2 linked regions of the Pelodiscus sinensis genome follow. The protein of the gene in region 1 interacts with the protein of each later gene in a pairwise test. Links are inferred from orthologs where the notes say so. Each region holds a gene or a part of one and is shown in the gene's direction. Other genes may lie near its edges.

Region 1 (15,796 bases):
AATTTGCTCTTTTTTATCTACCTGTAAGAAAAATTAAGGAGTTTTTACAAAATAAATATCATAAACAGTTTTCATCTTATTTATTTTTAAAAAGTAAAACATTGTTGAACTTCTGGTCCAAAAATACTTCTTATTCTTACTTTAACATAGATAGACAGTTATACTTAGTTAAAAAATATTCTTTGTATTGTTACTTTTATGTGGATTTCAATAAACAAACAAACAAATATGAAAAAAGTTAAACACAAGTTAATCATACCTATTTTCCATTAAGTGCTGGTGAGCGCATATCATTAATTCGTGTGGTTTTTTAATAAAGTCAGTGTGATTTTTGGCACTGCATTTCTTCAGCCAATTTTTCATAGTTGGGAGAATAGGATGATATTCTCGTTCATAAGCAATCGTCAAGATGGGCATCTGTAAGCCGAGATCTGTATTTTGATTTTATGATGATCATTGTTGAAAACAGAACTTCGCATAGATAAGTGGAACTGAAATAAGATTTTATTTTGTATGCTACATTTTTTTAAGGCAGGAAACTTTTTTCGGTCAACCAGATTCCAAAAGTTTTCATGTTACCTCTCCCTCCTCCCGTTTGACCGCCCAGCTCTTTCTTTTCACTTCCTCCCTCCTTCCCCCTGTGCACCTCCCCTGGCCATTTTTAAATCCCCTGCTGCCCGTCCCAGTCCCAGGGACATCACCCCCGTCGCTCTTCAGTGCCCCGCTCCCTTTTGCATAGCTCCGGTGCCATTTTGCATCGTCTGCCCTTTTTCTCTCCTGCCGCTTGCGCTCCCCGGCTCTTTAAAGCAGTGCGCTAGACTCCCGGTGCACAAACAGCCGGCACAAAGCCGGTACCTGACCCCTCGCACCGCGAGCAGCACGGTAGCAGGGGGACCCCGAGTGCGGGGTGGCAATGCCCCATCACAAGCGGCAATACACGATTAGAGGTTGTCACTAAGCGGGTGCACATAAATGCCATGGCATCCGCGGGCACCATGTTGGGGACCACGGCCTTAGAGGATACTATATATTTTTGTTAGTCTCTCAGGTGCTGCAGGACTACTAGTTGTTTTTAGTTATATTAATGGGATAATACAGACAGAGAAATACTAAGTTCCTACCCCAAAGATGCAACATTGTGAATTGGATAAACAATACTGTTGAGACTCCTACATACACTGAACAGCATTTAAATTTTCCTTTCTGTCCATATTTCACTTCCAGTTTTGCTGTGGCTGAGGATTTTAACACAAACATTAATAAACCACATCCTTTTGGAGAGAAAAAGTAGGTGAGGTAATATCTTCTATTACCGGGATTTTCAAACGTGAGTTGCGGACCCAGCAGTGAAAGCCCCTGGTAGGCCCATAACGATGGTTTACTCTAAAGCTCCGCAGCTATGAAGTCTCACAGCTCCCATTGGTCACAGTTTGCCATTTCCAGCCAAGGGGAACTGCAGGAAGTGTCGCTTTCCCTGGTTTGTCCGCAACCCAAGTTTAAAAACCCCCTGTTCTGTTGGGCCAAGTTCTGTTGGTGACAGGGATGTAAGCAACTAGTTGACTATCTGATAATCATATACTTATCGAATAGTCGACTAGTGAGTCAACTAGTCACTTCCCCTGCTCTTGCTCAGAGAGAGGCAGGAAAGAGGGGGAGCAGGATCTGCTGCTGGGTGGTGGGGGGACCAGTGTAAAAGCCAGCTTCCCCGCATCAGCATCTCCATGGGGGGAGAAAAGGAGGCAGAGGTGTAGTGGGGGATCATGTACTAGCTGGGAATCAGTTGGTTCCTGGCTCATGCCCAGTCCCCCCCATTGCGCTTCACCCTTTTAAATGTATTAAGAGCCTGGTGACTCTTAATACATTTAAAAAGCACAAAGCTTGGTGGAGAGGGGGACTGGGCATGAGCTGAGACAGCTGATTCCCAGCTCATGCCCACTCCTCCTCCCTCCTCTGCCCCCAGCTACTCTTCAGCCTTTTAAATATATTAAGAGCCTGGCGGCTCTTGATACATTTAAAAGGTAGAGCCACAGTAGGGTTAGCTCCTGGGGCTGGGAGCTAACCTGGCTGCGGCTCTGCAGTGTCTGCCCCTTGATAGAAATTCCATCGACTAGCCGATTAGCTGATTAAACGCCATTTAACATCCTTAGTTGGTGAAAGAGCCATGCGTTCGAGCTATACAGAGCTCTTCCTCAGGTCTGGAAAAGATTCTCAGAGTGTCATCGCTGAATATAGGATGGAACAGATTGATTAGCATAAATAATTAACATGCGTTCTAAGGGTATGTTTGTATTGCAGTTAAAAACTAATGAGTGGTCTGTGCCTGCTGACTTGGGTTCATGGGGCTTTGGCTCATGAGGCTGTTTTAATTGCAGTGTATGTATTCAGGCTCAGAGACCTTGTAATGAGGGAAGGTTCCCCCAAATGTGTACAGTAGGTCACAATTAAACAGCCCCAAATCAGCTAACACAGGCTAGCCACAGGTATTTAATAGCCGTATGGACACACTCTAAGTGACCATTCAAAGTGAAGATTAAAAGCTCCTAGGGACAGGTATTATGTCTTCTGTATGCCGTGCCAGGCATGCTGTTGGTGCTCAACAAATAGATAACAATGATCATTGTACAGTACTCCCTTTGGACTCTGCCATTGCCACTCCTTCCTCAGCTAAGGTGATTGCTGAATAGCCACTCCTGTCCCCTCTTGCATTTTCATTGTATAGTCTGCACAGCATGCATAGGAATTCTCTACACTGGATGTATTTATTTTAAACATTTTCCATCACTAACTCCTGTATAATTCCTGTTCATATCAGGGGTAGATGACAGTAAAATGCTGGTAGCCACTTAGCCCCATCACTTACTTTTGCTCCTGTGGAATCAATAGTTTGAACTTTTAAGAAAAGAGATCTAATGTCAACACAGCCATAATCATTTCAGGATCAGGCAGAGAGACTACATTCAGGAATTGATAACACTCTTTATCTATAAAGAACCAGAGTCAGAAATGTTAATTGTCTCCCATGTTACCCTTTTAAGTAAAAAGTGCAAGTTAAAAGGTGCCACTGAAAAACAACCTATGCCAGTTATTTGTTCTCTCTTTCAGTCTGAGCAAAATTTGGAGGAGGAAAGTAATTAATTGGCTTGAAGGGGAAACAGGAAAAATAAATACTATTTAAATGTCTAACAAGCAAAAAAGACAACCTTACCCTAGGGATGTGAAACATTAACCGGTAATGTTTACCAGTTCCAGTTAACTGGTGGGGCTGGAGCAGTTCCTCACCTGCCAGGAGCAGGGGACTGCTCCAGCTCCATGGGGCCCGTCCCAGGCAGGGGCACTGCAGCCTACCTGAAGCAGCCTCTGCCCATGGTGGGCCTAAGCACACCACAATCAGGGTCCACTCCAGCGCAGGTGGAAAGGGGACACTCCCTGCCTGTTCCCCCTTTAATCAGTTAACCAGTTAAACATTATGTTTAACCAGTTGACCAAGATTTTACATCCCTAGCCTGCCCCAAACATGCATACTGTGCCCTCAATCAAAACCAATAAACCTGGGCTCTGCCTAACCATCTGGAGATGCGAGTTCCAGAATAGAGAGCCACTCATACCACTTGAAGTTCTAGGAGAAAGTAAAAAGTCTCAAAACATCATTCAAATAGCAAACATCTCGGACAAATCATGGTGGAGCCATCTCAGTAGTGAATGACTGCTGAAATTGTAACGACTCCTGAAGCCATGCCCTGCCTGCCCTCAAGTTCTCTCCTCAACCTAATGCAGTAACATCACCACTATTTCATTCAGATTAAGCTTTTTCCAGCATTCTCTGCAACACTTAATCAGTTGGCTCTGAGACTCTATCTTCTGGGTCTGATGAAAATGAAATCATGTCCTCTGCATGCCAATGGCACTGTAGCCCGAATCAGCTCTCTTCCTCAATGGTGTTACATCTACCTCTAACAGAAAAGGAGATGAAAATAAATCTCTGTGGCAGCTCTGACAAGAAGTTCTTTAGGACAAATGAACAGTTCCCCACAAACACTCTCTGGAGCAAAAAGAATGGAACCACATGAATGATGCCCTCTGTACTTCTCAGGATGGGTTCTTTCAAGCTGCTTAGATCCCTCATATCTCACTCATTTCATGGGATCAGACTCCAATCTGCCTATATATTTTTCTACATGCATGCAATTTCATTAACATACAATCATCACATGATTTTTGTTATTTCCTGTGAGACTATAAAGGACTGAAAATGAGCTAACGTTAAAAAGAATTTTAATTGAAAAGTGAAGGGGAAAGTTTTAACTTCAGGGATGTAGAGATTAACTCTCCTCTTTGGTTTTCTACCTGTTTAACTCTTAAATTACTCCTGATTTATACTAGGGTGATTAAATATTAGTTAATTGATTAGTCGAGTAACCTCATGAATTCTGTCTATAGTTCCCTGGGGTGGGGCTGACAGCCAGTGTGCTCCGGCCTCACTCGTGAGGAGCCAAGCTCTCCTTGAAGACTAGCTGCCTGTTGCCCAGTACTGTTGTGTCTGATAAAGAGGCAGCAGCATGGGGTGGCAGTAGCCCCTGTATAGGAGATGTCTGAGCTCCTAGACCTGGTACGAGCCAAAACAGCTTGGCTGCCTGCCCATGTGGCTCCTAATACACTTCAAAGGTAGAGCCACATTGCGGGGTAGGTCCCAGACCCGGCATGAGCCAGGACCAAGCTGGGCTGCCTGCCTGCCCAGCTCCTAATACACTTTAAATGCAGAGCTGCAGCAGAGTAGGTCCCAGACCCGGTGCAAATCAAGAGTGAGCCAGGCTGCTGGCCAGCCTGCTAAAAAATTTACTGGCAGTGGGATGGGGGAGAGAAATGCTAGTAGTCTACTCTATAGCATTATCATAAGCTTTTGCTTATCGGTTAATCGGTTAATTGACTACACTATTATTACATCTCTAATTTATACCTGTGTAAACAAGAACACAGTCTAGTCAATTCTGCTTAATCATATCAAACAGATTATTTGTATAGCCTTAATCATTATAAATATATCTATATAGAACTCAAGTAGTCGAAACCCAAAGTGTGAGTTACCAACAGTTAAAATAAATTACATTCCTAAGTAGTATAGCCAACTTCAAATACCAGAAAAAGTTTGAATGTGAGGCTCACTTATTTATTGTGTGTAAAAAATTTCTATTGCTTTAATTAGAACATGAGAGAGCACCAGATCTGTGTGGGACAGAAGTAAATTTGGGTCTAAAATAAAGAATGTACCTACTAAAATTCTACAATTGATAGGTATATGTTCATATTTGGTTGTAAATCTGTTGTAAATCTGAAGTAACTCCATGGGAGTTAATGCTCCTACATTTGGGTAAAACAGGCGTGGGAGAAGAATTAAGCCCAATGTATCTGAAAAGCAGTTCTCCTTTGTCTGTCTTCCAAGACCTATGTTCATAAAACACAAAGGCTACGTCTACACTGGCATGATATTCCGAAAATGCTTTTAACGGAAAACTTTTCCGTTAAAAGCATTTTCGGAAAATCACGTCCAGATTGGCAGGATTCTTTTCCACAAAAGCACTTTTTTGCGGAAAAGCGTCCGTGGCCAATCCAGACGCTGTTTTCCGCAAAAAAGCCCCGATCGCCATTTTCGCGATCAGGACTTTTTTGCGGAAAACAGTACTGTGCTGTCTACACTGGCCCTTTTGCGCAAAAGTCTTTTGGAAAAGACTTTTGCCCGAACGGGAGCAGCATAGTATTTCTGGAAAAGCACTGACGATCTTACATGAGATCGTCAGTGCTTTTCTGGAAATTCAAGTGGCCAGTGTAGACAGCTGGCAAGTTTTTCCGCAAAAGTAGATGATTTTGCGGAAAAGCTTGCCAGTCTAGACACAGCCAATGGGAAGGGGCTGCTAGCAGCCATAGTTGTACTGCAGAATGACCACTGGAGGCGCAGGTGCGCCAGTAGGAGAGTGGCCAGCTGGGGACAGGGCTCTAGATGTTGCTGGCCACTCACACGGGTAAGATTCCTGTGCTGCTGAGCTGCCTGTTAGGCAGCATGGCTTCCCTTTCGCCAACCAGACCCAGGGAGCCGGCAGCCAGGCAGCATAGTCCCCGGCCAGCCCAGGGGAGCTGTTTTATAGCAGCCTTCATACAAACAATACTTGAAAATTCTCTGCAGAGTTCAATAATAAAGTTATGGTTTAAAAATGACTGTAGAAGAGAAATGTTCTGTTTTTGCATGAGATTAGAGAATGAATAGCATGTAGGGCAGATAATGGAAACATTATTCCAGATGGCAAGGGTTACAGAGCTGCTCTTCTTGCACTCTCATTGGTGAGATAATGGGAGGGACCTCGGGGAAACCAGTGCTAAACAAGCAGAGAGAATTTCAGTAACTCAGGCCACGGCTGTTGGCCTTCTGTAGGAGAGGGTGAGTGAGGTTCTGTGGCTGGCAATGTGCAAGAGGTCAGACTAAATCAAGGGTCTCAAACACCCGGCCCATGGGTCATCCCTGGCCAGAATGATTGCATAATCCAGCCAGAGACTCTTGGTGGACTGGGGGGGAACTCGTGCTTTACTGGTCCCCAAGCCACATCCCTTCCTGCCATCACCCTGCCTCTCCATCCCATGGTGCTCTGTCCCCCAAGGATGCCACTTTGGGGATTATTGCGGGGCATGGCATGGCAGCAGCAGTTGGGCCTCCCATGGCAGCAGGAGCCACGGGGAAGCAGAGTGAGTGCACTTGCCCAGTGTGTTCTGCTTCCCCAATGGCTCCTGCCACTGCAGAGAGTGCAGGGAGGTGCAACCCCTGCCACCACGTGGTGCCAGGCCCCCCCGGTGATCTCTGAAGCCACGTCCTTGGGGGATGGTGGAAAGAGGGTGGGACAATGATGGGAAGGAGTGGGGTGTGGGGACCAGTAATAGACAGGACCCACTCGGCCCACTGGGAGTTCTAGGTTTGATTGTGCAATCGCTCCGCACAGGGATAGCCTACAGGCCAGGAGTTTGAGACCCTTGAAGTAGATGATCATAATGGTCCATCTGGCCTTAAAGTCTATTAGTCTATAATATGAAGAAAATAAAAAGTCTTGGACAAGTCTATGTTGGGTTTTAAATCAGCAAGATTTCTTTAGATAAGGTAATCAGTGTTTATTACATGGACTGTATATACTGTCCTCCAAGATCAAGGATTATAACTAACCTGCACAAACTAACCTTGATGATTTCTGTAAATGAAACACTGCTAATTTACAACACAGACTTCTGTAGTCTTCTGTGTCATTATTAGCATGCTGTGTATCTGCAATGTGATTGAATGTGATTGCAAGGCAGGATATATATTTCACTGCCTTTGTGTCGTTTAAGTGTTTGTGAGATTTGACATTGATTTGATTAGTTCATATAAATATACTCATCTCTTTGGTTTTTTTAAGTTGAAATAAAAAATGTCTAATGACATGAGTGACGCAGTACCCATTGAAGGAAAACCTGAAACAATGGCAATGCCTAGTAGTGATGAATCGGCTAAAGATACAGCAGAACATAGTGAAATGCCTGGGATCTTGCATGGGTCTTCCCAAGATGAACAGAGACAAGTTTCTTATAATACTAGTAATGGACAGGAAGGGGACATGGCTATCAATGAAAATCCTTTGACTATGGAAGTAATTGCAAGTCAGCCTTCCAGCAGAAAGGTGACTGAAAACGTGCCTACTGACTGCAGCGAGTCTGTGAGCCTTGATCCTGAACCTGGATCAGAAGTGACACCAAATGAACAAAGCAGTCCAGTAAGTAATCTTGTCTTTTTCTTCCAGAACAGCTTTCCTTTATGGTAATTAGCTTTCTGTATGAGAGAATCATAAGCATATTTCCCCACTTTGTGCAAAGAACAGGATTCTGTAAAAATAATATATTTTGTAAAAATAATAGATTTGCTGCATTAGCATTTTGCTATGAAATAATCATGGGCAATTTTCTACAAAAATCTAGGAAATCATGCCAAAAAATCTGTGGTAAAATAACACTGTTTAGATTGCAGTGAAGCACTCAACAGTTAGGAAAAGTCAAATTTGCCCATGTGACATGAATTTGCTCCCCTGGTGTGTATGTACTATGATAATCCTTCATTTTCTTCACACCCCGGTTCATTCAGTGCATGGGATGGACAAAAAGTGGGCAGAAGTGGGTCACATATGCAACCATTAATTTGTGCTTCCTGACTTCTGGGTATCTGACTGCAAACTATACAATATCCTTTCAGCCTAAGGATGTATTTGTTTTCATATTTACATTCTGTTAGCACCTGAAGCCTCAATCAGATTAGGCCCACATTGTAGAACAGTATCCTTGCCTCAAAGAGATGATAGTCTGGTAAGGCCAGTCTAGCCCTATTTAGACACATGCTTAAGTCCCATTGAGTTCAGTGAGACTTAAGCACATTCAAATGCTTTGCTGAATAGGGGGCCTTTAAAGATAAGATATGCCAGATGGACAAACACATGAGTTCAAAAACAAGAAGATGTTTTAACCTAAAGTAGCCGTATTTGCTCTTCTTAGCTAATTGGTAGTCATAACCACAATTCACCATCTGTCTAACAATTATCAGACAACATTTCTATTGATGTTCCATAGAGCTCATCTCAAAATCTTGAGATGTTTCAGTTATTACTATTGTTTTGTTTATATTAGTACCTACTACTTTTAAAATTATAATTAACTAGCCATAATGAAAAACTGAAATTAAAACGACCCTAGCTCCTGAAGGTTCATGAATCTTTGTTTTCTACTTCAGCTGAGTGCACAGAACTGCTTATGTTAGTGGCACAATTACTATTGCTTGTGGATACTGTGTTTGCTTCACCTGTAAAAGCAAAAGTTATTTCTTTTTTTTTATTTCATGTCAGCAGCATAGAATCCGTGTCCAATAAGGACACAGCAACTTCTCCATTTAATATGGTGAGCAGAAAGGATCTCTAATCAAATTACAGACAAGGAATTGTAGGCCAAGGACTGGAGGAAAGAAATAATTTATTCTTCCCCTTTGAATATGGGTGAAGAGGGTCATGCACATAAGACGTGTGCCTTTTCTAAGGAACCTGTTTTCCTGTCCAGAGATTCAATACATATTGAAGCTAGGTTACAAAGAAGTGATATAGAAGTTCTAATAAGACAATTGATTTTTTTAGCCTTATTAAAATATGGAATACTGAAAATAGTCTAATGCAATACAATAATTTTAGCTACACTTTATTTTCTTGAGAGAGGGAATGTAGGCCTTTGCACCAGAGTTACTCTCTTCTCTGCACCTACCACAGAAGCTTAAACTTTAACCAGAAACCTCAATTTAAAGTAAAATAATGCAGCACTGCAACGCCACCATTGAATATAAGACAGTATCTTCTTTGGGTTTCTATTCCCACAGATCCCTGATGGCATTACAGGTTGAACCCCTGTAATCTGGATTTCCCTGATCCAGCATTGTCAGTGATCCCATGGGTACTTGGGGCTGGAGCACTCATGAATGAAAACCAGTTGGGCTGGGGCCAGGAACATTACTGGACCAGGGAAGAGCTGAGCCCAGGTGGGCAGAGCCCCTGCAGGCTGGGACAGCTGAGCTGTGGAATCCCAGCAGGTCAGAGCAGTTGAGCTGCAGAGCCCTTGCAGACCTGGGGGGGGAGGGCAGAGATGCAGCTGAGCCCCAGCATCCTAGGAGGCTGCTGTAGAGCGCAAGCAGGGGGAGTGGAGATGCTGGCAGCCCCAGGTCCAGCAAATTCTGTCATTTGGGACTGGTCAGTCCCGAGGGTGCCAGACCATGGAGATTCAACCTGTACTGTTGAATTACAAATGTAATTACATTGTTTAATACATGCTGGAGTCTGGTTTCTAGTAGTGGATATTTTTTCTCCTGTATTTGGGCAATTTAAATTTCTGACGGTGAAACTGAATATTTCCTACTGTAGGATTTGGACTCCTCTCCTAAAGGAAGTGGATGGGGAGCATGGGGATCATGGGGCAAATCTCTGCTGTCAACAGCATCTGCCACAGTTGGTAAGTGTTCAGCCATTAAACCTTGTGGCATCACTGGACAGTACTTTTAAATCAGAGTTTTAATGCAGGTTGGCATGGTTAAATGCTCTTAAAGGCAACTATTAATGACTAAGTGGTTGTTTACATTTGTAAGATTTATATGTAATCTTATCCTGCTTTGAACAAAATATTCCTGGGCTACCATGACCTTTGCAATGTGAAAGAAATTTTTTTTTCTTGTAAATCATTTTGGCTTTCATGAAAGGTCAGTGAAGTCAACAAATTACCTCATTAGATTTCAGAGAGCATAAGGAGATCCTGAATATTTTTTTAAATTATAAGCCTTTTAACTTCTAACATATCTTCTAAATTCAAAGCCAACTTAAGCCACTAGTGACAAAAAGTATGTTATATTATCAATTTGTTATCTGACAAAAAATTGTGTGGTGCCAGGTAGCCATTTTACAAAGAAACCAGTTTAATTTACATCCTTACTGGAAGTTTTAAGAGAGAGGCTAAGCACTTAGGGGTTTGAAGTCTGAATTAACCTTCCTACTCTTCAAGATGGTATTAGAGTTGGGGAAAATTGAAAGGATATTATTGGAAAAGTTTGCATTGCTGTTGTGCATTCATATTCTTCAGTCTCTTTGGGCTGTCTGACCAGCATCTTTCACAAAGTCATAGTTGAAAAATCAACAATGTTTTCATTTGATTATATTCACACAAATCAGTACATAAATCCTGGATTCTTGGGAGTAGGATCTACCAACATCCAAATGTACTATCATTTCTTGAATTAATGTAGGTTTGGTAAAGTAATAGGCATTAAACATTAAGAATTTTCTTCTTAATGACAAGTTCATGGTATGAGCCAGGGGATTTGTGTGTGTGTATTATGATTATTTATATAATTACTAATAGGCATCTCAAGGAATTTAAGAAATGCAGGTAGTGAGTTTAGTCATGTTAGGTTAAAATAACAATGTATATGCTTTGAACAGAAAAGAAACAGTATCTATATGTTTATACTTTATATGCATATCATAGTACATTAATGCTATTATAACTAACGTGCAAAGTCTTTCATGTAAGTACTGCTGACCTATGACTGTTGTCCCCTAGTAGATAGTTTCTTGCATGAGGAAACAAATAGGTAATAAATCCACTCTTCAGTATAATAGAGAAGGTATTAAATTATCCTATTACTGGAAGTTGCAGCTAGACAAATTCAGGCAGGAAATAAGGTGTAAAATTTTGAAACAGTTTTCCAAGAGTAAAGGCAGATTCTACATCACTGATTTTAAAATCAATATTGGATGTTTTCTAAAAGATTTGCTCTAGGATTGATTATTGAAAAGTTCTATGGCCTGTTGTATAGGAGACCAAACTAGATGTTCACAATGATCTTGGGATCAATGATTCCCTTAATACAACCAAGGAATATGCAAGACCTTGTGAGTACTGAAATACAAAACATTCTTCCAAGCAATATGAGTCATGCAATAGTCTACTTATTTCAATTACCCAACTTGTTTACTGCTATTATATCAGTATGTATACATAGTGCTCAGCCTGAGCTCATTGGTTAACCCTCATGGTTATATGCAGTTCTCCCTCCCCTCCACCTCCCCTCGCCTCCTCCCCCCCACTGCTGCCTCTGTATCAGAGGCAGCAGCGCAGGGGGAGACGCAGGAGCCAATGCTCACAGGGAAGCCAGCTTAAAAGCTGGGTCCCAGAAAACACCGGCTCCCGCAGAGCCAAGTGCTGGGGTGGGGGCAAGGAGGTGGAAGCTGATACACATGGGAAGCTGGCTTTCAAGTGGTAACACATTTACAAAAATAAACAAATGTTAACATCCCAGAGAAAGAGGCAACTTTCCTTTGTTTCAGGGCTTTAACTGCTGGAGAAAGACTGCCCTCCTTCCCAGCCTCTGCTCGGGGGCTGCTCTGGTGGGGAGAGGGAGACATTCCCCTCCTTCTCAGCCCCATCTCACTATCTGCCAGGGCAAAGTGGTGGGGTGAGAAAGAGACACCCTCTCCCATTCCCAGAACAGTTTGGTGGTTGGTGGGACAGGGGAAAGATACCTCCTACCCTGAGGACTGCTATTTACAATTCCTAGTGCCCTATAGCGCTCAACCATCTGCACCATGCCCACAGAGGAGGAGGGTGGCCACTTCACAGGAGAGCTATCTCAAGGGCTAGGGGACAAGCCCAGGGCTGGGATGGGGCAGGAACAGGGCTAGAAGTGGGGACACTGACAGAGGAGCAAGCAGGGAGTGGTGTGAATGCATGGGGAGTTCATGGGGATTGGATCATAGGAGACTCGCCTTCCCTCTCCCTAGCCCAGTTTCAGTTCACTTGGTGCAAAGGGAGCCCTGCTAGTTCTGGTTGGTACTGAGGAGAAGGCAGATCCTTGCAGGTGGTGTGGGGGGGAGGGGAGGAAAGCAGTGCTTCTGGGGCATCGAGGGGGGCTGCAGTTAGCCCTCTTCACCCTAAAGACAATTGAGATGCTACACACCAAGTAAGTGTGCAGTGGCTTTAACTGGGGAGGCAGAGCCTTACTGGAAGGAAACCAGTCACCTCAGCTTCTCCCATGCTGCTGCTATGCAGTCCCAGTGGCTGCTTCGGCTCAGCAGTCAAAGTGTGGGGGTCTGGGAGCTGAGGGAGGGGGGCGGTCACAGAGCATCATGAATCACTGGGCAGCACAGACATGCATAGCCCATGGTTCCCTCCCTAGCTGGAGTCAAGGCAGCTTCCTGGGCCTCACAGGACTGATTCGCCCTCCCCAACGGAGCGGTAATTCCTCTTGCCAGAGCCCTTTATTCTTGCTTCATCTGCTGGATCTGGCTATCCCTTGCATGCGTGCCCACCAGCCAGCTGCTCTAGTGAATCCTTCAAAACCTGCCGCTTCTCCTCTTCTCTCCCAGCTTTGTCCAGGGAGTGGACCAGAGGTGAAGCGGGGTTCTGCTCCACAGCTTGCTGGAGATGAGCTGAAGGTTTCCTTTTGACAGAAGGGGAAACAGCTGATGAGTGGCGGTTGGGTGCAGCCCTAGAGATTACATGATGAATTTTGCATAAAGCATATTTGAATTATGCATATTCATATTCAAAACACATCGCCATAAAAATATGTAGGCGTAGCATCACAGACATATCTTGAAAGTAACTGAAGTTGCAAGCATGTTACTGAGAGCAGAATTTAACTTGCAAAATAGAATTCTGTCCTCAATTGCAAAAGCACATTTCTCATTAAGGTAATTAAGAGAGAGACGTTTATCTGATGGTAAAATATGATCTTTTAGAAATAAAAAAGAGACATAATGTATGGTATGAAGAGAGATTAAAAAGAAAGCATTGTGTGGAAAGATTAGTATGTGCGATATGTCGGAAGTATATAAAATAATTAATGATACAGAGAAGATTAAACCATTAGATGATTAGATGAAGGAGATAGTCTATACGTCTCTTGTAGTCATTTCTAACCCTGTGATTTTATAGTTATCCTCATTGTAGAAAAACAAGGAAACAATGAATGAAATTGAAAGTAAACACATTTAAAACAAGTAAAAAGAAATACTTTTTAAAAACACATAATTGACCTCACTGTCATACCATATAACTGGGGCCAAAAGCTTCATATCTAAGGGTTTAGAAAAGGATTGGGTATTTTTATGGATGTATATTCACAGTTACATTAGATAAAATTGAAACATTGTTATATGGGATATAAACCTGTGTGCTTCCAGATTCACTCTACATGGACCAGGAAGAATATCCCCCTACAGACAGGCTATTTCTTAATTATCCATTATAGAAATTCTTGCTCCCAACTTTTAAGTGTTTAAAGTATGTCTACTGTCAAAGAATATTGGATTATATAGATCACAGGTCTGAGCACAATTATAATTCCTAGATAGAGGGGAAACTAAGCTTTTTATACAGTCAGTGAGGAATCGTTGTAATAGATCTTCTTTTTATTTTATATTTTATATTTATTATTATTCTTTAAAATATTCTATTGAGTATCTGAATAATTCATCCCACACTACTTCTTTCATCTATTCCACTATATCAGAAAACAGGTATCACATGATACAATCCACCTGAATGTTGCTTGTCCCCTTAATGTAGCAAGTGCTACAAACAAAGCCATTTTTCTCGTACTAAAACTAGCAGCAGCATCTTAGATCTAGTACTTCGCTGTTTCTTAGTAATCCCATTTCTGTAACAGGCTTGCTTGTTCCCAGTGAAGCATGACAAATGTTTACTGCCCTTTGCTTTATTTGTTATACATTTTTCTTAGTAAAAGTAGCTGAAATGGTTGCACAGTAATGTGATTGACCAGTTAACATTTTAAAGGGATAACAGCTCTCTTCAAGGCTGACTGAAATGGATGTTCATCCCTGTTGGTTTCATTATCCTTCAGGCCCTGATTTAGTACTTCCAAACAGATTAGCATTTTTACAGTATGGCGGTAATTTGCTTAGCATTGCTGTCGTTGGTTTCTAGCAGCATTTTCTATGCGAATTCAGTCTTCTTTCTCTACTTAACTATTTCAACACATACACACAGGGTTTGGTTTTTTTTTTTTTGAGAAAATGTCCTTCATCTCCAAAGTAACATTCACATTTAACTAGTCTTTTTGGCTTCAAAGGGGTAGCCAATTTAGTCTGTAACTAGAGAAACTTAAAAAATGACTTGTCTGGCAGCACCTTAAAGACTAACAAAACATGTGGATGGTATCATGAGCTTTGGTGAGTACAACCCACTTCTTCAAATGAAACATGGTGACAACATGTGACAACATCATACAACATGGTGACCTTGAGATCCATTAGTGAGTGCTAGGGCAGGTTAAAGTATTCTGCAACAGGTTTCTGTATGTTGACTTTTCGGATATCTGATTCATGTCCATTAATCCTTTCTGGTAGAGACTGTCCAGTTTGACTAATATACATGGCAGAGGGGCATTGCTGGCACAGATCACATTAGTAGATATGCAGTTAAATGAGCCTCTGATTTGTTGGCTGATGTGGTGGGGTCCAGTGGATTGTACCCATGAAAGCTCATGATACCATCTACATGTTTTGTTAGTCTTTAATGTGCTAATAGACCAGTGTTTCTTAAACTGTGCTCTATAGCACACTGGTGTGCCGTGAGGCAGTCAGAGGTGTGCCACGGAAAACAACAGAAATCAAAATGGCCACCCTTAAAGGGGAAGGTGACCTTTTTTTTTTCCTCAACAAAAAAATCCTTGGTGTTTCTCATAAAAAAATTGTTTGGTGTTCCTCGGTCTTAAAAAGTTTAAGAAACAACACTGTGCTAGACTATTTGTTGTTTTTTAGTCTTTTTGGGCCACCCTCCTCTCAGCACTCCCACGGGCGTGGCTATTGTTGAAAGAACACTTTGTCACAGTGCTAAACAAAAAGCTTTTATAATGCCTTTTGATCGGTAACACAACCTCAACTATAGTTAGTATTTGACACTAGATGTCTCACTAATTACATTTTTGAGGCAATGGGAGAAAGAATGAAGTATGTTTCCATGTAATGAGGTAAGAAGACTTTTGTTTAAAAGCATGCTGGGTCTGAGTCTCTCTTCTGTGGTACCAGCATAAATTGAGAGTAGCTTTACTGAAGATACTGGAGTTAAACTGATGCAAATGAAAAGAGAATCAGTCCCAATATTGTGTGTACAGCATATGATTGCATTGTATCACAAATACAGAGTATATCCATTTTCATTGCCCTTCCTCTCTAAACCAGTTGTGTTT
Region 2 (15,860 bases), on another chromosome or scaffold:
TGATGGCAGGCAGCCTCTTCCACCCTAGCCTGGCCAGAGACACGCTCCATGCTGGCCAAGCCACAGCCCCCTCAGGCAACAGAACATCTTGGGTTCCTCTAGCTGCCTCTGCTCCTTGCTCAGTTCCAGGTGAGCCCGTATCTCCCATGGGCCAGCTCCAGCCTCCATCCATGGGCTCTGCTCGGCCCCCTTCCCAAATCCATCTCCCGTTTTCCACTCCTGGCCTCAGCACCTCTCACCTCCGCCCCCGACAGGAAGGGGTGGGCCGCCCCCGTGATGGCTAGGTAGTTGTCGTTTCCTCCAGGGAACTACAGGAGACAGAAAAGGAGATGTAGGGGGAGGGAGCTTTCGGCGTGACTTTCACACCACCACGTGTAAGTAGGGATGTTAAGAGTCGGCTAAGTAGGTAACCATATAACTACTGATTACACAGTTACCCGCAGCAAAGCCGCCCCTCAAGGACTGGCTGAGTGTCACTGACACCATTAACCGACAAGGTGATGCTTATTGGTTAAACAGCGAGTCGGTGACATACGGACATCCCTTGAAGTGTGGACAAGGCCTGGCTCACGGGTTCTTTGCCCCTCAAAGGTGTCTTACATTTCAGTCAGGCTGGTGTGAGCAGTAAGTGGACACCGAAACCAGCATCCAGCGCCGGGAAGATTCCAAGTGCGAGTCAAACCAACCAAACCAGTTTGACACCATTGGCAGGCAGGGGTGGGATTCGCGTCCCCAGAGAAAGGCAGGAGGGCCCGTGGGTTGAGACGCAGCCCCTTCACTACCTGGGCATCAGGCCTCGTCCAGACCGGCGCTGGGCTCTGGAGCGGGCAGCGCTGCACCCGTATACGGCGCCGCCGCTTCGAGAGACACAGCGTCCGCTGGAGCAATCAGGCCGGTGCCAGAGCCCGACTGGCCGCCGCAGCCAACACACCTCTGGAGGGCAGAAGGGCTGGCTCCCAGGGGGGGGGCACTACGGGCAGGACACAGCTGAGCTGCTGACTTCACCCCAGCCCCCCACTACCCACCTAGCTCACCCGCCAAATCCCCCCACCCCCCACAAATCCAGCCCCACAGCCCCCACCTAGCCCAGCCGCCAAATCCCCCCACCCCCCACAAACCCAGCCCCACAGCCCCACCTAGCCCAGCCGCCAAATCCCCCACCCCCCACAAACCCAGCCCCACAGCCCCCACCTAGCCCAGCCGCCAAATCCCCCCACCCCCCACAAACCCAGCCCCACAGCCCCCACCTAGCCCAGCCGCCAAATCCCCCCACCCCCCACAAACCCAGCCCCACAGCCCCCACCTAGCCCAGCCGCCAAATCCCCCACCCCCCACAAACCCAGCCCCACAGCCCCCACCTAGCCCAGCCGCCAAATCCCCCCACCCCCCACAAACCCAGCCCCACAGCCCCCACCTAGCCCAGCCGCCAAATCCCCCCACCCCCCACAAACCCAGCCCCACAGCCCCCACCTAGCCCAGCCGCCAAATCCCCCCACCCCCCACACACCCAGCCCCACCTAGCCCAGCCGCCAAATCCCCCCACCCCCCACAAACCCAGCCCCACAGCCCCCACCTAGCCCAGCCGCCAAATCCCCCCACCCCCACAAACCCAGCCCCACAGCCCCCACCTAGCCCAGCCGCCAAATCCCCCACCCCCCACAAACCCAGCCCCACAGCCCCCACCTAGCCCAGCCGCCAAATCCCCCCACCCCCCACAAACCCAGCCCCACAGCCCCCACCTAGCCCAGCCGCCAAATCCCCCCACCCCCCACAAACCCAGCCCCACAGCCCCCACCTAGCCCAGCCGCCAAATCCCCCACCCCCCACAAACCCAGCCCCACAGCCCCCACCTAGCCCAGCCGCCAAATCCCCCCACCCCCCACAAACCCAGCCCCACAGCCCCCACCTAGCCCAGCCGCCAAATCCCCCCACCCCCCACAAACCCAGCCCCACAGCCCCCACCTAGCCCAGCCGCCAAATCCCCCCACCCCCCACAAACCCAGCCCCACAGCCCCCACCTAGCCCAGCCGCCAAATCCCCCCACCCCCACAAACCCAGCCCCACAGCCCCCACCTAGCCCAGCCGCCAAATCCCCCACCCCCCACAAACCCAGCCCCACAGCCCCCACCTAGCCCAGCCGCCAAATCCCCCCACCCCCACAAACCCAGCCCCACAGCCCCCACCTAGCCCAGCCGCCAAATCCCCCCACCCCCCACAAACCCAGCCCCACAGCCCCCACCTAGCCCAGCCGCCAAATCCCCCCACCCCCCACAAACCCAGCCCCACAGCCCCCACCTAGCCCAGCCGCCAAATCCCCCCACCCCCCACAAACCCAGCCCCACAGCCCCACCTAGCCCAGCCGCCAAATCCCCCCACCCCCCACAAACCCAGCCCCACAGCCCCCACCTAGCCCAGCCGCCAAATCCCCCCACCCCCCACAAACCCAGCCCCACAGCCCCCACCTAGCCCAGCCGCCAAATCCCCCCACCCCCCACACACCCAGCCCCACCTAGCCCAGCCGCCAAATCCCCCCACCCCCTCCCAGCCCCACAGCCCCACCTAGCCCAGCCGCCAAATCCCCCACCCCCCACAAACCCAGCCCCACAGCCCCCACCTAGCCCAGCCGCCAAATCCCCCCACCCCCACAAACCCAGCCCCACAGCCCCCACCTAGCCCAGCCGCCAAATCCCCCCACCCCCCACACACCCAGCCCCACCTAGCCCAGCCGCCAAATCCCCCCACCCCCCACAAACCCAGCCCCACAGCCCCCACCTAGCCCAGCCGCCAAATCCCCCCACCCCCCACAAACCCAGCCCCACAGCCCCCACCTAGCCCAGCCGCCAAATCCCCCACCCCCCACAAACCCAGCCCCACAGCCCCCACCTAGCCCAGCCGCCAAATCCCCCCACCCCCCACAAACCCAGCCCCACAGCCCCCACCTAGCCCAGCCGCCAAATCCCCCCACCCCCCACAAACCCAGCCCCACAGCCCCCACCTAGCCCAGCCGCCAAATCCCCCCACCCCCCACAAACCCAGCCCCACAGCCCCACCTAGCCCAGCCGCCAAATCCCCCCACCCCCCACACACCCAGCCCCACAGCCCCACCTAGCCCAGCCGCCAAATCCCCCCACCCCCCACAAACCCAGCCCCACAGCCCCCACCTAGCCCAGCCGCCAAATCCCCCCACCCCCCACAAACCCAGCCCCACAGCCCCCACCTAGCCCAGCCGCCAAATCCCCCCACCCCCCACAAACCCAGCCCCACAGCCCCCACCTAGCCCAGCCGCCAAATCCCCCCACCCCCCACACACCCAGCCCCACCTAGCCCAGCCGCCAAATCCCCCCACCCCCCACAAACCCAGCCCCACAGCCCCCACCTAGCCCAGCCGCCAAATCCCCCCACCCCCCACAAACCCAGCCCCACAGCCCCCACCTAGCCCAGCCGCCAAATCCCCCCACCCCCCACAAACCCAGCCCCACAGCCCCACCTAGCCCAGCCGCCAAATCCCCCCACCCCCCACACACCCAGCCCCACAGCCCCCACCTAGCCCAGCCGCCAAATCCCCCCACCCCCCACAAACCCAGCCCCACAGCCCCCACCTAGCCCAGCCGCCAAATCCCCCACCCCCCACAAACCCAGCCCCACAGCCCCCACCTAGCCCAGCCGCCAAATCCCCCACCCCCACAAACCCAGCCCCCTCCCAGCCCCGCCCCCTCTCACCTCCATGGTCCCAGTGGCCGCCTCCGCGACTGAGCGACCCGACCCGACCCTCCGAGTCCTTGCCCGGAACCGGAAATCGCCCCCCGTCTCCGGTGTGTGGCGTCACTTCCGGTGCCGGCCGCAAGTGGCGCGGCCCTGGAGACGGGCCCGCGACCCGGTTGCCAAGGAGGGGCTGGAGGGGTGCCGGAAAGAGAACAGTAGAGACGGGCCTGGTCACGAGACAGAGCGGCACCGGAAGTGGCGCCATAGAGTTGAGAAGGGGTAAAGGCTAGCGCGACCGGAAGTGGAACCATGGAGTTGACAAAGGGTGGAGGCTAGCGCGACCGGAAGTGGCGCCATAGAGTTGACAAAGTGTGGAGGCTAGCGCGACCGGAAGTGGCGCCATAGAGTTGACAAAGGGTGGAGGCTAGCGCGACCGGAAGTGGAACCATGGAGTTGACAAAGGGTGGAGGCTAGCGCGCCACATTAACTGCACCATAGAGTAAGCGGCGTGCTAGGCATAGAGCGGCTCCTCTTGCCGGAAGTAGAGCAGCGAAGAAGGCATAGGGTGCGGGCAGAGCGGCACCGGAAGTAGAGCAGTGGAGTCCGGCACGGGGTGGGGCTAGAGAGACCTTTGGCGGACCCGCTTGTGGCATCATGTCTTATGCCTACCTCTTCAAGTACATCATCATCGGGGACACCGGTACCGGGCCGGGCCGCGGGGGCTGTGGGGGAGGGGCAGGGGACGGGGGCTGTGGGGGAACGGGGGGCTGTGGGGGAGGGGCAGGGGACGGGGGCTGTGGGGGAACGGGGGGCTGTGGGGGAGGGGCAGGGGACGGGGACTGTGGGGGACCGGGGGGGGCTGTGGGGGAGGGGCAGGGGACGGGGGCTGTGGGGGACCGGGGGGGCTGTGGGGGAGGGGCAGGGGACGGGGGCTGTGGGGGACCGGGGGGGCTGTGGGGGAGGGGCAGGGGACGGGGGCTGTGGGGGACCGGGGGGGCTGTGGGGGAGGGGCAGGGGACGGGGGCTGTGGGGGAACGGGGGGCTGTGGGGGAGGGGCTGAGGACGGGGGCTGTGGGGGAGGGGCTGAGGACGGGGGCTGTGAGGGAACGGGGGGCTGTGGGGGAGGGGCAGGGGACGGGGGCTGTGGGGGACCGGGGGGGCTGTGGGGGAGGGGCAGGGGACGGGGGCTGTGGGGGAACGGGGGGCTGTGGGGGAGGGGCAGGGAACGGGGGGCTGTGGGGGAGGGGCAGGGGACGGGGGCTGTGGGGGAACGGGGGCTGTGGGGGAGGGGCAGGGAACGGGGGGCTGTGGGCGAGGGGCAGGGGACGGGGGCTGTGGGGGACGGGGGGGCTGTGGGGGAGGGGCAGGGGACGGGGGCTGTGGGGGAACGGGGGGCTGTGGGGGAGGGGCAGGGGACGGGGGCTGTGGGGGAGGGGCTGAGGACGGGGGCTGTGAGGGAACGGGGGGCTGTGGGGGAGGGGCAGGGGACGGGGGCTGTGGGGGAACGGGGGGCTGTGGGGGAGGGGCAGGGAACGGGGGCCTGTGGGGGAGGGGCAGGGGACGGGGCTGTGGGGAGGGGGCGGGGGCCGTGGGCGGGGAACAGGAGGGATACTGACAGTCTCTCTCCCCAGGGGTGGGGAAATCCTGCCTCCTGCTGCAGTTCACAGACAAGCGCTTCCAGCCCGTCCACGACCTGACCATTGGTGAGAGCAGGGCTGGGCTGGCAGGGGCCGTGGGTGGGGAACGAGGGGCACTGGCAGGGCTGGGGGACAGGGGCTGTGAGCCGGGAATGCAGGCGGGAGGCAGGGGCTGCAGGGCAGGAATGAGGGGCACCGGCAGAGCACTTGTGTTGGCCAGGGTGCACTGGGGCTGTCCCATTGGGTCTTCCTAGAAGGTTTCTGCTCTTTGCCTCTTTTTGCCAGGTGTGGAGTTTGGGGCTCGGATGATCAACATTGACAGCAAACAGATCAAGCTGCAGATCTGGGACACGGTGAGACGAGGGGTGGGCAGTAGGGCTCGGGGCGGCAATTGGGACAGCGGGAATATTGGGGCTGGGATATAGATTGGGAGATGGAGCTGTGGGGGGCGGTTACTCAGATGTGCTGGCCTGTGGGGTCTAATGGAGCTTCAGGATGCAGGGGGCTGACTTGGGGGTGATGAGGGGACTAGGGGGCTGGGCAAGCCAGATGTGGGCTGGGGGAATGGTAGGATGGAGGAACTGAGCCAGGCCCCAGTGGAGAGCTGTGGGCCTGGGCAGAGCCATGGGGCAGGGGGAGCCATACCCTGGGGCGAAGTCAAATCAGGGGAGCTGCTGTACTCAACATCCCTCCTCTCCTGTCCAGGCTGGGCAGGAGTCGTTTCGTTCCATCACCCGCTCATACTACCGTGGTGCGGCCGGGGCACTGCTGGTCTATGACATCACTAGGTAAGGCCTGCCCCACCCGCCATACCTCCCACTGACATGCTTGGAGCCTGGGGACCTCCCAGCCCCCTCTGTGCCAGGATGGGTAGGAATGGTGGCCCTAGCCTCTGGAGGTGGGTGACGGGAGAGATCATGTGACGATTACCTGTTGTGACACTGGGCTCGATGGACTTTTGCTCTGACCCCATGTGGCCGTTCTTATGCCCCACAGGCGGGAGACCTTTAACCACCTGACCACCTGGCTGGAGGACGCTCGGCAGCATTCCAGCTCCAACATGGTCATCATGCTCATTGGCAACAAGAGGTAGCCGGAGGCAAGGGGGCTGGGATCCACTTGGCAGGGAGGGGCGGATTCGGGCTGTCGAGGAGCTGGGAGAGCAGCCAGATGGGGGACACCTGTGGGGTAGGATGGGAAGGCGTCTCACCATGGGGGGATTCTCTGGGGCATGCAGGGATCCAGGGTGAAGCACAGAGGACCCAGGGAGTCAGTGGAGCAGGACCCCTGCCCAGCCGCGCTCACCCCCGCCCCTCGTGTCCCCGTAGCGACCTGGAATCTCGGCGGGACGTGCAGAAAGCGGAGGGCGAGGCCTTCGCACGGGAACATGGGCTGGTCTTCATGGAGACTTCGGCCAAGACATCCACCAACGTGGAAGAGGTGACTGGGAGAAAGGGAGGGGCTGAGGTTGTGGCCTGGGACTGCCCTTCCCTGCCACCTGCCTGTCTGCTTCCCACCTGATCTCCCTGTGTCCCTTCCCCTGCTCCCCTATCTCCTTCCTCTTCCTGCACCCTCTGTCGCTGCCAGTGGCATGGCGGTGCCCTGGCGTCACCCCTCCTACCCTGCCCATGCATCCCTCCAATCCCAGGTTCACCTAGTGTTTCCCTCACAGATGGGGTGATGCATGGGACCCCGTTATATGGGAGGGAGGAGGGAGTTTCCCAGACTTGCCTCGTTTCAGCCCCACGTGTGTTGGGATTTTAGGCCTTCATTGACACAGCCAAGGAAATCTACAGGAAGATCCAACAGGGGCTCTTTGACGTCAACAACGAGGTGAGCCAAAGCTGCCCGCCCTGCCTGGGTCCCATTGCTCATCCCACTCCCAGGGCCTGTAGGGCCATCCTGGACATCTAGGTCCCATTGCTCATCCCCCTCCCAGGGCCTGTAGGGCCATCCTGGACATCTAGGTCCCATTGCTCATCCCCCTCCCAGGGCCTGTAGGGCCATCCTGGACATCTAGGTCCCATTGCTCATCCCCCTCCCAGGGCCTGTAGGGCCATCCTGGACATCTAGGTCCCATTGCTCATCCCCCTCCCAGGGCCTGTAGGGCCATCCTGCACATCTAGGTCCCATTGCTCATCCCCCTTCCAGGGCCTGTAGGACCATCCTGGACATCTAGGTCCCATTGCTCATCCCCCTCCCAGGGCCTGTAGGACCATCCTGGACATCTAGGTCCCATTGCTCATCCCCCTCCCAGGGCCTGTAGGGCCATCCTGGACATCTAGGTCCCATTGCTCATCCCTCCCCCCACCACCTCAGGGCCTGTAGGACCATCCCGGTCACCTACATCCCATTGCTTGTCCCCCTCCCGGGGCCTGTAGGGCCATTGCTCGTCCCCTCCGCTCCCACCCCACCCCCGGGCCTGCAGGGCCATCCCGAACACCTGGGCTTCCCCTGCATCTCCCAGGCACAGGGGTGAGTGCCCCATGCTGCTATCTTGAATGCCTGGGTCCCATTCCCAACCCCAGGGTCTCATTAAGGGGGGAGCGGTTGTGGGGCTCTGGGGCAGGGTCTTCCCTTGCGTAACCTTCCCTCTCTCTTCTAGGCAAATGGGATCAAGATTGGGCCACAGCAACCGTCGGGCATAGCTCCTGGCGCCGGCACCCGTCACAGCCCCCAGGGCTCTGGAGACAGCTCAGGCTGCTGCTAGGCGCCCCGCAGTGCCCTCTGGTGTTGTCAGAGCCCCTGACTCACCCTCTGCTCCCGCGGGGTGAGACCAGCCCGCAGCCCTGGTGAGGAAGTTGGCTCCCAGCGGAAGTGGGGAGATCTCCTGTCCTGACCCCATGGAGGGGAGCAAGGACCCGATGCCTCCTGGATCATGCCTGGGGGGCAGTTAAAGATCCTGCCCCTAAACATTCCTCCCTGTAAGCTGGGGGGGCAGGGGCCAAGATGGGTCTGGAGTCTCCCCCTGTCAGTGCCTTCTTGCTTCTGCTGCATCTCTGACTGCCTAGGACGCACCAAGGCTTCCCTTCCTGGGGACTGAGGGGTCCTGACTGCGGACCCCCCCCCATGCTGCCTATGTGTTCCTGGCCAGGAGCCTCTCCCCTTTTAACTGTATCATTCTCTGGCTCCTCGTCTATTAAACATGTACGTGTCTGCAACCCGCACTCTGCATCTCTGCTTATAGGGGAACTGTGGCCCTACCCCCCAGCTCCCCGCGTGCTTGGGAAAGAACCCAGGGGTCCTGGCTCCCAGCTTCCCCCTCTCCTCCCTGCTCTAACCACTAGACCCCTTCCCACTCCTCCCTATTCCTGTCCCAGAGCTGGAGAAAGAACCCAGGACTCCTGGCTCCCATCCCCCTCCTAATCACCCCACTGATGGAAGATGTATTCCTTTGTCTGCCTGGGTGGGTGGGACTGAGCTTTTCTAAATATCTTGACGGATTCAAGTACTGAGTTCCCCATTCTCCTTACAGAGCTCTGAGCATCTGGCCCGTGTGTCTCCGGGCACAGGGGGACAGGTGGGTGAACATGATGACAACACAGAGGCCCAGATGCTGGTGACGGGGCCATAGGTTGCGCATGCTCACCTCTGCTGCTAGGGCAGCGTTTAACAGTCAGGGAAGGGGGTTGCAAAGACCCCCAACCCTCCTCTTCTCAGCACGGTTCAGCGTGGTGCCCAGAGGGAACCAAACCCACTACCACCACCCAACCTCAGCTCTGGGGAAAGCTCCCTAAAGACATCCCTGGGGGCAGGCAGCAGGAGGACTGTGATGGCCAGCGGCTACCTGCGACTTGTGTTCTGCTAGGCGGGTTAGGAAATGAGACCTGAGTTCACTTTTCAAGTGGATTCTTTAACCTGCATCAAACTCCTGCGTGGTTGAATTCAGTTTAGCTTTATTCCCTTTAGGTGTAAATGAAAATCAGCTGAATCACCACCGCTTGAACCCTGAACAAGAGCTTCCGTGCAGGGATTTAATCTGGTTTAATGGATCCGTTTTAAATTCACCCCCTTTGTGTCCCATGTGGACAGCAAGCCACTTGAGCGGGGGAGACACTTGGGTATTCTGTGTCACTTGGACCACGTAGGTCCCAACCAGCTGATCTTTGTGTGCTACTGCTGTATAGGTTTTAATAGCATAGCAACACCAGGGCAGGGGTCATAGCTTTGGGGCGAAAATGTTTTGCTAAGAATTATATATATTTATATATATATGTAACATATGAATTTTTTCTCCTTCCCAGAAATATTTAACTATGTAAAATATTTGAAGGAAAAAATCTTGCAATTTTTCTGACAATTTTGGGGAAATTCACACTTTCAATTTTTTATTTTTCTATAGGAGAAAAAGGAGTTTAAAGGGGTTTAAATTGGAGGCTGTGAGGAGAAGAACCCATTTGTTTTTAATGTGTTCACATTTTCCCACTGGAAAAGTGAGCAAAGATTTTAACAAAACAAAGTCATTATTGGATGCCTGCCTTTCCTCTCTTTTTTTTTTCCAGTGAGGTAAAAAATGAGAGAAAAATTACAATAAACAGAGAAAAGGAAAAACCCAGGAAATCCTATTCTTCTTAAAATTAAGCAATGTTTGATTTGTTTACAAACGCTTTCATTTTGGTGGGAAAAACACTTGTTTAGAATTTTGTAACAAAAGCCATTTTAAAACTTTAAAATGTTGAAGGAACAATACTTGTTTGTAGTCTTTTGAAGCGTTTTGCAAAGCAAACTTCTGACCTGGCTCATAAGTGCAGGGGACAGTTTCAAGTGGTGCACTGGCTTTGGTAGTGATGGACCCAGCTTGCAAGCCTGTCTCTAACTGTAAGAGGCATCTGCTGCCTCCTACAGAAGTTTTTCTGCTCGTGGAGGAACATGACCTTGCCAGACAACATGAGCTGTGCCAACACTGTCAGTGCTGCTGGGGTTTTGCTGGCGTACTGTTCAAACCCCGCCTGATGTATCTGTTACATGTAGACAAGGTCTTAGGACAGCACCAGCCTGAAGAAGTCCAGCCTCACAGGGAAGACATCTGGGAGTTATGAACTCATTCAAATGTTTTGATTTGTGTTTTGGTTTGGTTTTGTTTGTTTTTTTCCCTATTTCTGAGGAGTGGGGGGAGAGAAACTTTTCCTATCAAAAAGCATGTTTTGTTGGGGGGAACCCTAGTTTTTTCTGGTTCCTTTTCCCATGGGTGCTGGATTAAAGTTTTGAAACTGTCAAATGCTTTTGTTTCAGAAGAGCAGGGGAATTCCTCCTTCCTGTTCCATCCTCTGCCTCTTGCCCCCCAGGAAATTAAGTGGGAGGGGCTACAGGAAGAGAGGCGGCATTTCCCCACTGTTTGTTTTACTTTTTTTCTTTTGACTTTGTTTAAAAAGCCCCATCAATCTTTTTTCTGTGGGAAGTGGCTTTGTGGAAACAACTCGGATTAAAATGCTTTTTTTGGAGGAACATGTGTTAAGTACTGGGTCAGACCAGGTCCATCTAGCCCAGTATCCTATCTTCCCACAGTGGCCAGTGCCAGGCGCCCCATGGAATGAACAGAACGGAATCATCAGGCGACCCGTCCCTGTCACCCATTCCCAACCTCTGACAAACAGAGGCCAGAGGCACCCTCTCTGCCCACCCTGACTAATAGCCATGGATAGACTTAACCTCAATGAATTTTGAACTCTTTTAAAGTCCTGTTTAATTCATTTTTTTCCACGCTGGGTCATGATTTTATAGACCTGGAACATAAGAACGGCCATACTGTGTCAGAGCAAAGGTCCATCTAGCCCAATATCCTGTCTGCCAACAGTGGCCAATGCCAGATGCCCCAGAAGGAAGGAACACAACAGGTGATCACATCTCATGATCCCTCTCCTGTCATCCATTTCCAGACAGAGGCTAGGGACACCATTCCTACCCATCCTGGCTAATAGCATTGATGGACCTAACTTGCATGAATCTATCTAGCTCTTGTTTGAACCCTGTTAAAGTCCTAGCCTTCATAACATCCTCTGGGAAGGAGTTCCACAGGTTGACTGTGTGCTGAGTGAAGAAAAAACTTCCTTTAAACCTCCATCATATTTCCTTTAGTCACCTCTTTTCCAAGCTGAACTCTCCCAGTCTTATTAACCTCTCCTCATATGGCAGCCGTTCTCGGATCATTTTTGTTACCCTTTTCTGAACTTTTTCCAATTCTAAAATATCTTTGAGATGAGCTGACCACATATGTGTGCAGTATTCAAGATATAGGCGTGCCATGGATTTATATAGAGGCAATAAGACATTCTTTGTCTTTGTCTCTTTTTTTCTGATTTTTAATACTCTGTTTGCTTTTTTCACTGCTGCTGCACATTGAGTGGCTGTTTTCAGAGAACTATCCACAATGACTTCAAGATCTCTCTCTGGAGTGGTTATAGCTAAATGTAGTTGGGATGATATTTTCCAATGTGCATTATCTTGCATTTATCAACATTAAAATCCATGTGCCAGTTTGTTGCCAAGTCACCTAATGTGTTGAGCAGCTCCAGGACTCAGAGTCAAGCTGGAAGGGCTGAGAATCCCAGTAAGGGATGTTTTTGCTGAACACCAGTTGCTGGGCTTAGTACACAAGTTACATCTGGACAGGAGTGGTTTTGTGGGTATTTTTCCTTGCAATTTGGAGGTGCACAGGGCCATCTAGAGGTGAGCCATGGCCTGGTGGAGGCTGGCCAAGACAAGCCCCTGGGAAGCACAGCAGTGAGTAACAGTGGGAGTTAGAGGGGTCACAGAGGCTAATGTTTCTGGTATCTTTCTGGGGAGAATGAATGTGACCAGTCACTCATCCAGCTGTATCTGAATCCCCCTGGGGCTCAGTTTCCTTTGTGACCAGAGGCTATAGCTCTGCCTTCAGGCAGTGAGCTCAGAAATGGAGCAAAGCAAGCAGCCTCTGAGCCCTCCAGGGCAAATAGCTTTGTTCCTACCTTGCACTGGTGCTGCCGAGCATGCCACTGTAGGGAGCAAGGTGGGGCAGAACTAGACGTAGTGAGGTGTATCCCCACACTGACCACAGCTGTTGGCCAAATCCTGCTCCCATCTGTAAAATCCACACAGACTTGGAGGGGAGCTGCCGCCACCTGCTCTTAGTTCACTGCTTGTAGCTTTCTTCACACCTCCCAGAGCCCAGAACCCACCTAAAGCCCATCCGCACCCAGAATTGTCCAGATTCACACCACATGGGCTTGTTCCAGGAGAAGAGTGCCTGGTTTCTGCCTATCTTGAGGCCGGATCTACACTACTAGAAACGCTGGGCCAGCGACCTCTCCTAGTGTGAACACATCTTATGCTACCACGAAAAAAACGTTAGTTTGCTGGCACTTCCAGTCACTGCCTTGTTTATACCGGAAGAGTTTGTCTGGCCTAGCTGAACCCAGTCTGGCTACACAGGCAAGTCACCTGGTGGAGATGCAGTGTGCACCAGTAGAAGACTCACCCAGCCTTAATCTAGATTCATGTCTCAATGTAGACAAGACTAAAGGTACGTCTACATAGCAATGTTATTTTAAAATAACAGTCCACCTCTACACAGCAGGCAGGTCTTTCGATATACAGTCAAACTGGAGGACTTCTTACTCCGACTCCTGTAACCCTCATGGTATGAGGAGTAAGGGATGTCCAAGGAAGAGTACTCTATTTTGAAATAAGTGCTGTGTAGACACACCCTGCGAGTGCTAGCGGGAGTTGACCAAGAGTAAAGCTGGGTGTAGAACAGCCTTTGTGATTGTGAATACCAGGATTTAAACCACTGTGCCTCTTTGCAAATTGGGGATTAGAAGATTAAAGTAAATGGGTCCTGTGTTAATATTGCAAAAATACAGAGTTATGTGGGAGAAAAACCCACAGCCCTTGGGGAAACTTGTCAGTCTCAATGGTAAGCATAGACCAGATCTCCCCCAAGTGAAATCATTCTACCTATAGAAGAGCAGTTCTTGGTACGGCTGTGTGTAGACAGGAGCGTCGCTGGCCCATCTTTGTGGGTGAGGACATAGGCTGCTTCACAACCTTGACCCATAAAGCCATGCTGGTAGGAACGCCAGAGCCAGAGGGTTCATGTACTCATGTAGTTTCATTGACTGACTTCACAAGTGGACAACTTAAGAGTTGCCTATGTGGGGATGTCAATCCAGACAACGGCAGGATGTGAATTAAAAATGGAACAATTTAGAATAACTCCCAATGTGGGCCCTCTTATTTAGGAATAAAGTCTTGATTACTGAGAGGCACTCTGAAAAAATCAGTCTGGATTAACAATGTGAACTACAGAATAAAACCATATGCACAAAGATTTTTTTTTCAGAATACCTGTCCTACTTTAAATTTACACCCTGCCTTAATCCAAATTAACATCTCAATGTAGACTAAGGCTATGTCTAGACTACAATGCTTTATTGGAAAAAGGTTTGCAATTTGCATACCTTTTTCCAATAGTTTTGTCGGAAGAGGCTTTTCCTAAATTTGACCTGTTTTGGAAAATTTTGGAAAAACCTTCTCTTTCAGAAGAGCCCTTCTTCCTCGTGGAAGGAGGAAGACAGGGCTTCTGAAAGAGCATGTCTGCTCTTCCGCCAAAAAAAGTGGAAGAGCAGATGTGTTCCCTGGATACCTCCAATATCCTGGAAAACCCCATAGTCTAGACGTAGCCTCAGAAGGTGTGTCCAGACTACTGAGTTTTGTCGACAAAAGTGGACTTTTGTCAACAAAACTATACCAGCGTCTACACTGCCGCTGAGTTCTGTTGACATAACGTCGACAGAACTCAGCAGTTTTGTCAACGCTGGTATACCTCATTTTACAAGGCATAACACCTTCTGTCAACAGAAGGTGTTATTGCCTGTGGGGTTGCGTCTAGACTACAGGGCTCTGTCGACAAAGCAACTTGCTTTGTCGACAGAACTCAATGTGTCTGGACGCTCTTTGTCGACAGAAGTTTTGTCGACAGATACTGTCGACAAAACTTCTGTCGACAAAACCCGGTAGTCTAGACGTACCCAGAGTGTTGGCAGGAGCTAATCAAGAGCAACTCTGAGTGTGGACCAGCCTTTGAGATCATGACAGCCTGGATTGAAACCGCTGTGCTGCTTTGCAACGTGGGAATTAGAGGGTTAAAGTAAAGGTCTCCTGTGTTCATTTGCAAAAATAGCTCCCTGCGCCGACCTCTTTCTGATGCTTCCATTCCATTGTGAAGGCCAGGCCTTGAACAGGGTTAAAAAAAGAGCTAGAGCCATGTCTACACTTGGAGACAAAAAGAAGCCACAGTCAATCTTCTGGGGTTTGAATGAGCAGGTCTGGGGAAGGTCTTAGTCCTGCTTCCACAAGGAATAAGGGAAGTCGGGGAGAGTGGCTCTGACTTCCCACAGTGCGGACAGCTCCATAAATCGAGTTAAGATACTTCGCCGTAAGAGGCGCAAGGAACGTAGCTGAAGCTGCGTCTCTACCGCGACTCCATCCCAGGCCAGGTCTGTCAATGGCTATTGACCGGGATGGGCAGGACTAGTGAACCTGGCTCAGGGGCTGGGGAGGGCAGCCTGTTCCCTAAGCAGGCACTGAAGGGGGCACCACTGCATTAAAGGGGGGGTAACAACTCCCCCCATGCACTCAGCATGCCCCCCCCAGCCTGTCCCCTATAGGTGTCCGACCCACTGCCTGATTGAAACAAGGGTGTGGGGAAAAAATCCCCCGTGGGCTGCCGGGCGAGGGCGAGAGGGGCCAAATCCCGCAGGCCGCAGGGGGGTTAATTCCATGAGGGAGATTTTCAGTCAGGCACCACGCGGGGCAGCCCCAGCCGGGCCAAGGCCTCCCTCCACCCCTCCTCTCTGCGGAGACTTCCTGGAAGGGGTCTCAGCCTAACCTGCTAGCTGGCCCCGCCCCCGGGCTCGCGGCCGCAGCCGGGAGAGTGGGCGGGGCTTCGAGGGGCTGCGGGGTAGGTTGCGCCGCCCATGCTCCGCCGCCTTGTTCGCGCCGGGGGGGGGCCGCGCGGCGCGGGGCGAGGCCGAGGCGGCCGCAGGGGAGACCCCAGGTAGGTCCCCGCCCCCCCCGCCCGCACGGGTATTATGGGATGGCGGCGCGCCCGGCCGCGGGAGGCTGCCCAGGCGCGGAGGCCCCCCCCCCGAGGGATGGTCCAGCCCGGCCCCCATAGGGGGTAATGGGGGGGGGCGCGTCCATATTGCACCGGGGGGTAGATGGGGGGCGGGTCCATGTTGCACCCGGCGGGGGGGAGGTTGGGGGGCGGGTCCATGTTGCACCCGGCGGGGGGGGGGGAGGTTGAGGGCGGGTCCATGTTGCACCGGGAGGGGGAATTGGGGGGGCTGGGTCCATACTGCACTGGGGGGGGAAATTAGGGGGGGCTGGACCCTTGTTGCACAGGAGGGGAATTGGGGCTGGGTCCATATTGCACCGGAGTAGTGGGGGGGGCTGGGTCCATATTGCACGGGGGCAATGGGGGGGGGCTGGGTCCATATTGCACGGGGGCAATGGGGGGGGCTGGGTCCATATTGCACGGGGGCA

What was found.
Region 2: the proteins of FAM114A1 (region 1) and RAB2B interact in binary tests that used the Homo sapiens proteins (3 or more experiments, as listed by UniProt). The two-hybrid records come from large-scale screens. The link is inferred for Pelodiscus sinensis from reciprocal best matches to the Homo sapiens genes FAM114A1 and RAB2B.

The regions. Positions count from the first base shown.
Region 1 is NC_134715.1:93,497,376-93,513,171, reverse strand, and holds the start of FAM114A1 (protein NOXP20), read left to right. Parts: upstream 1-7,442; coding exon 7,443-7,784; exon of another isoform or gene 7,785-9,956; coding exon 9,957-10,044; exon of another isoform or gene 10,045-13,024; intron 13,025-13,042; exon of another isoform or gene 13,043-15,796. UniProt on the Homo sapiens protein: May play a role in neuronal cell development.
Region 2 is NC_134740.1:773,457-789,316, forward strand, and holds RAB2B (ras-related protein Rab-2B), read left to right. Parts: upstream 1-4,170; 5' UTR 4,171-4,356; coding exon 4,357-4,402; intron 4,403-5,333; coding exon 5,334-5,405; intron 5,406-5,624; coding exon 5,625-5,692; intron 5,693-6,044; coding exon 6,045-6,127; intron 6,128-6,335; coding exon 6,336-6,428; intron 6,429-6,667; coding exon 6,668-6,779; intron 6,780-7,103; coding exon 7,104-7,172; intron 7,173-7,944; coding exon 7,945-8,049; 3' UTR 8,050-8,500; downstream 8,501-15,860. UniProt on the Homo sapiens protein: The small GTPases Rab are key regulators of intracellular membrane trafficking, from the formation of transport vesicles to their fusion with membranes. Rabs cycle between active GTP-bound and inactive GDP-bound states.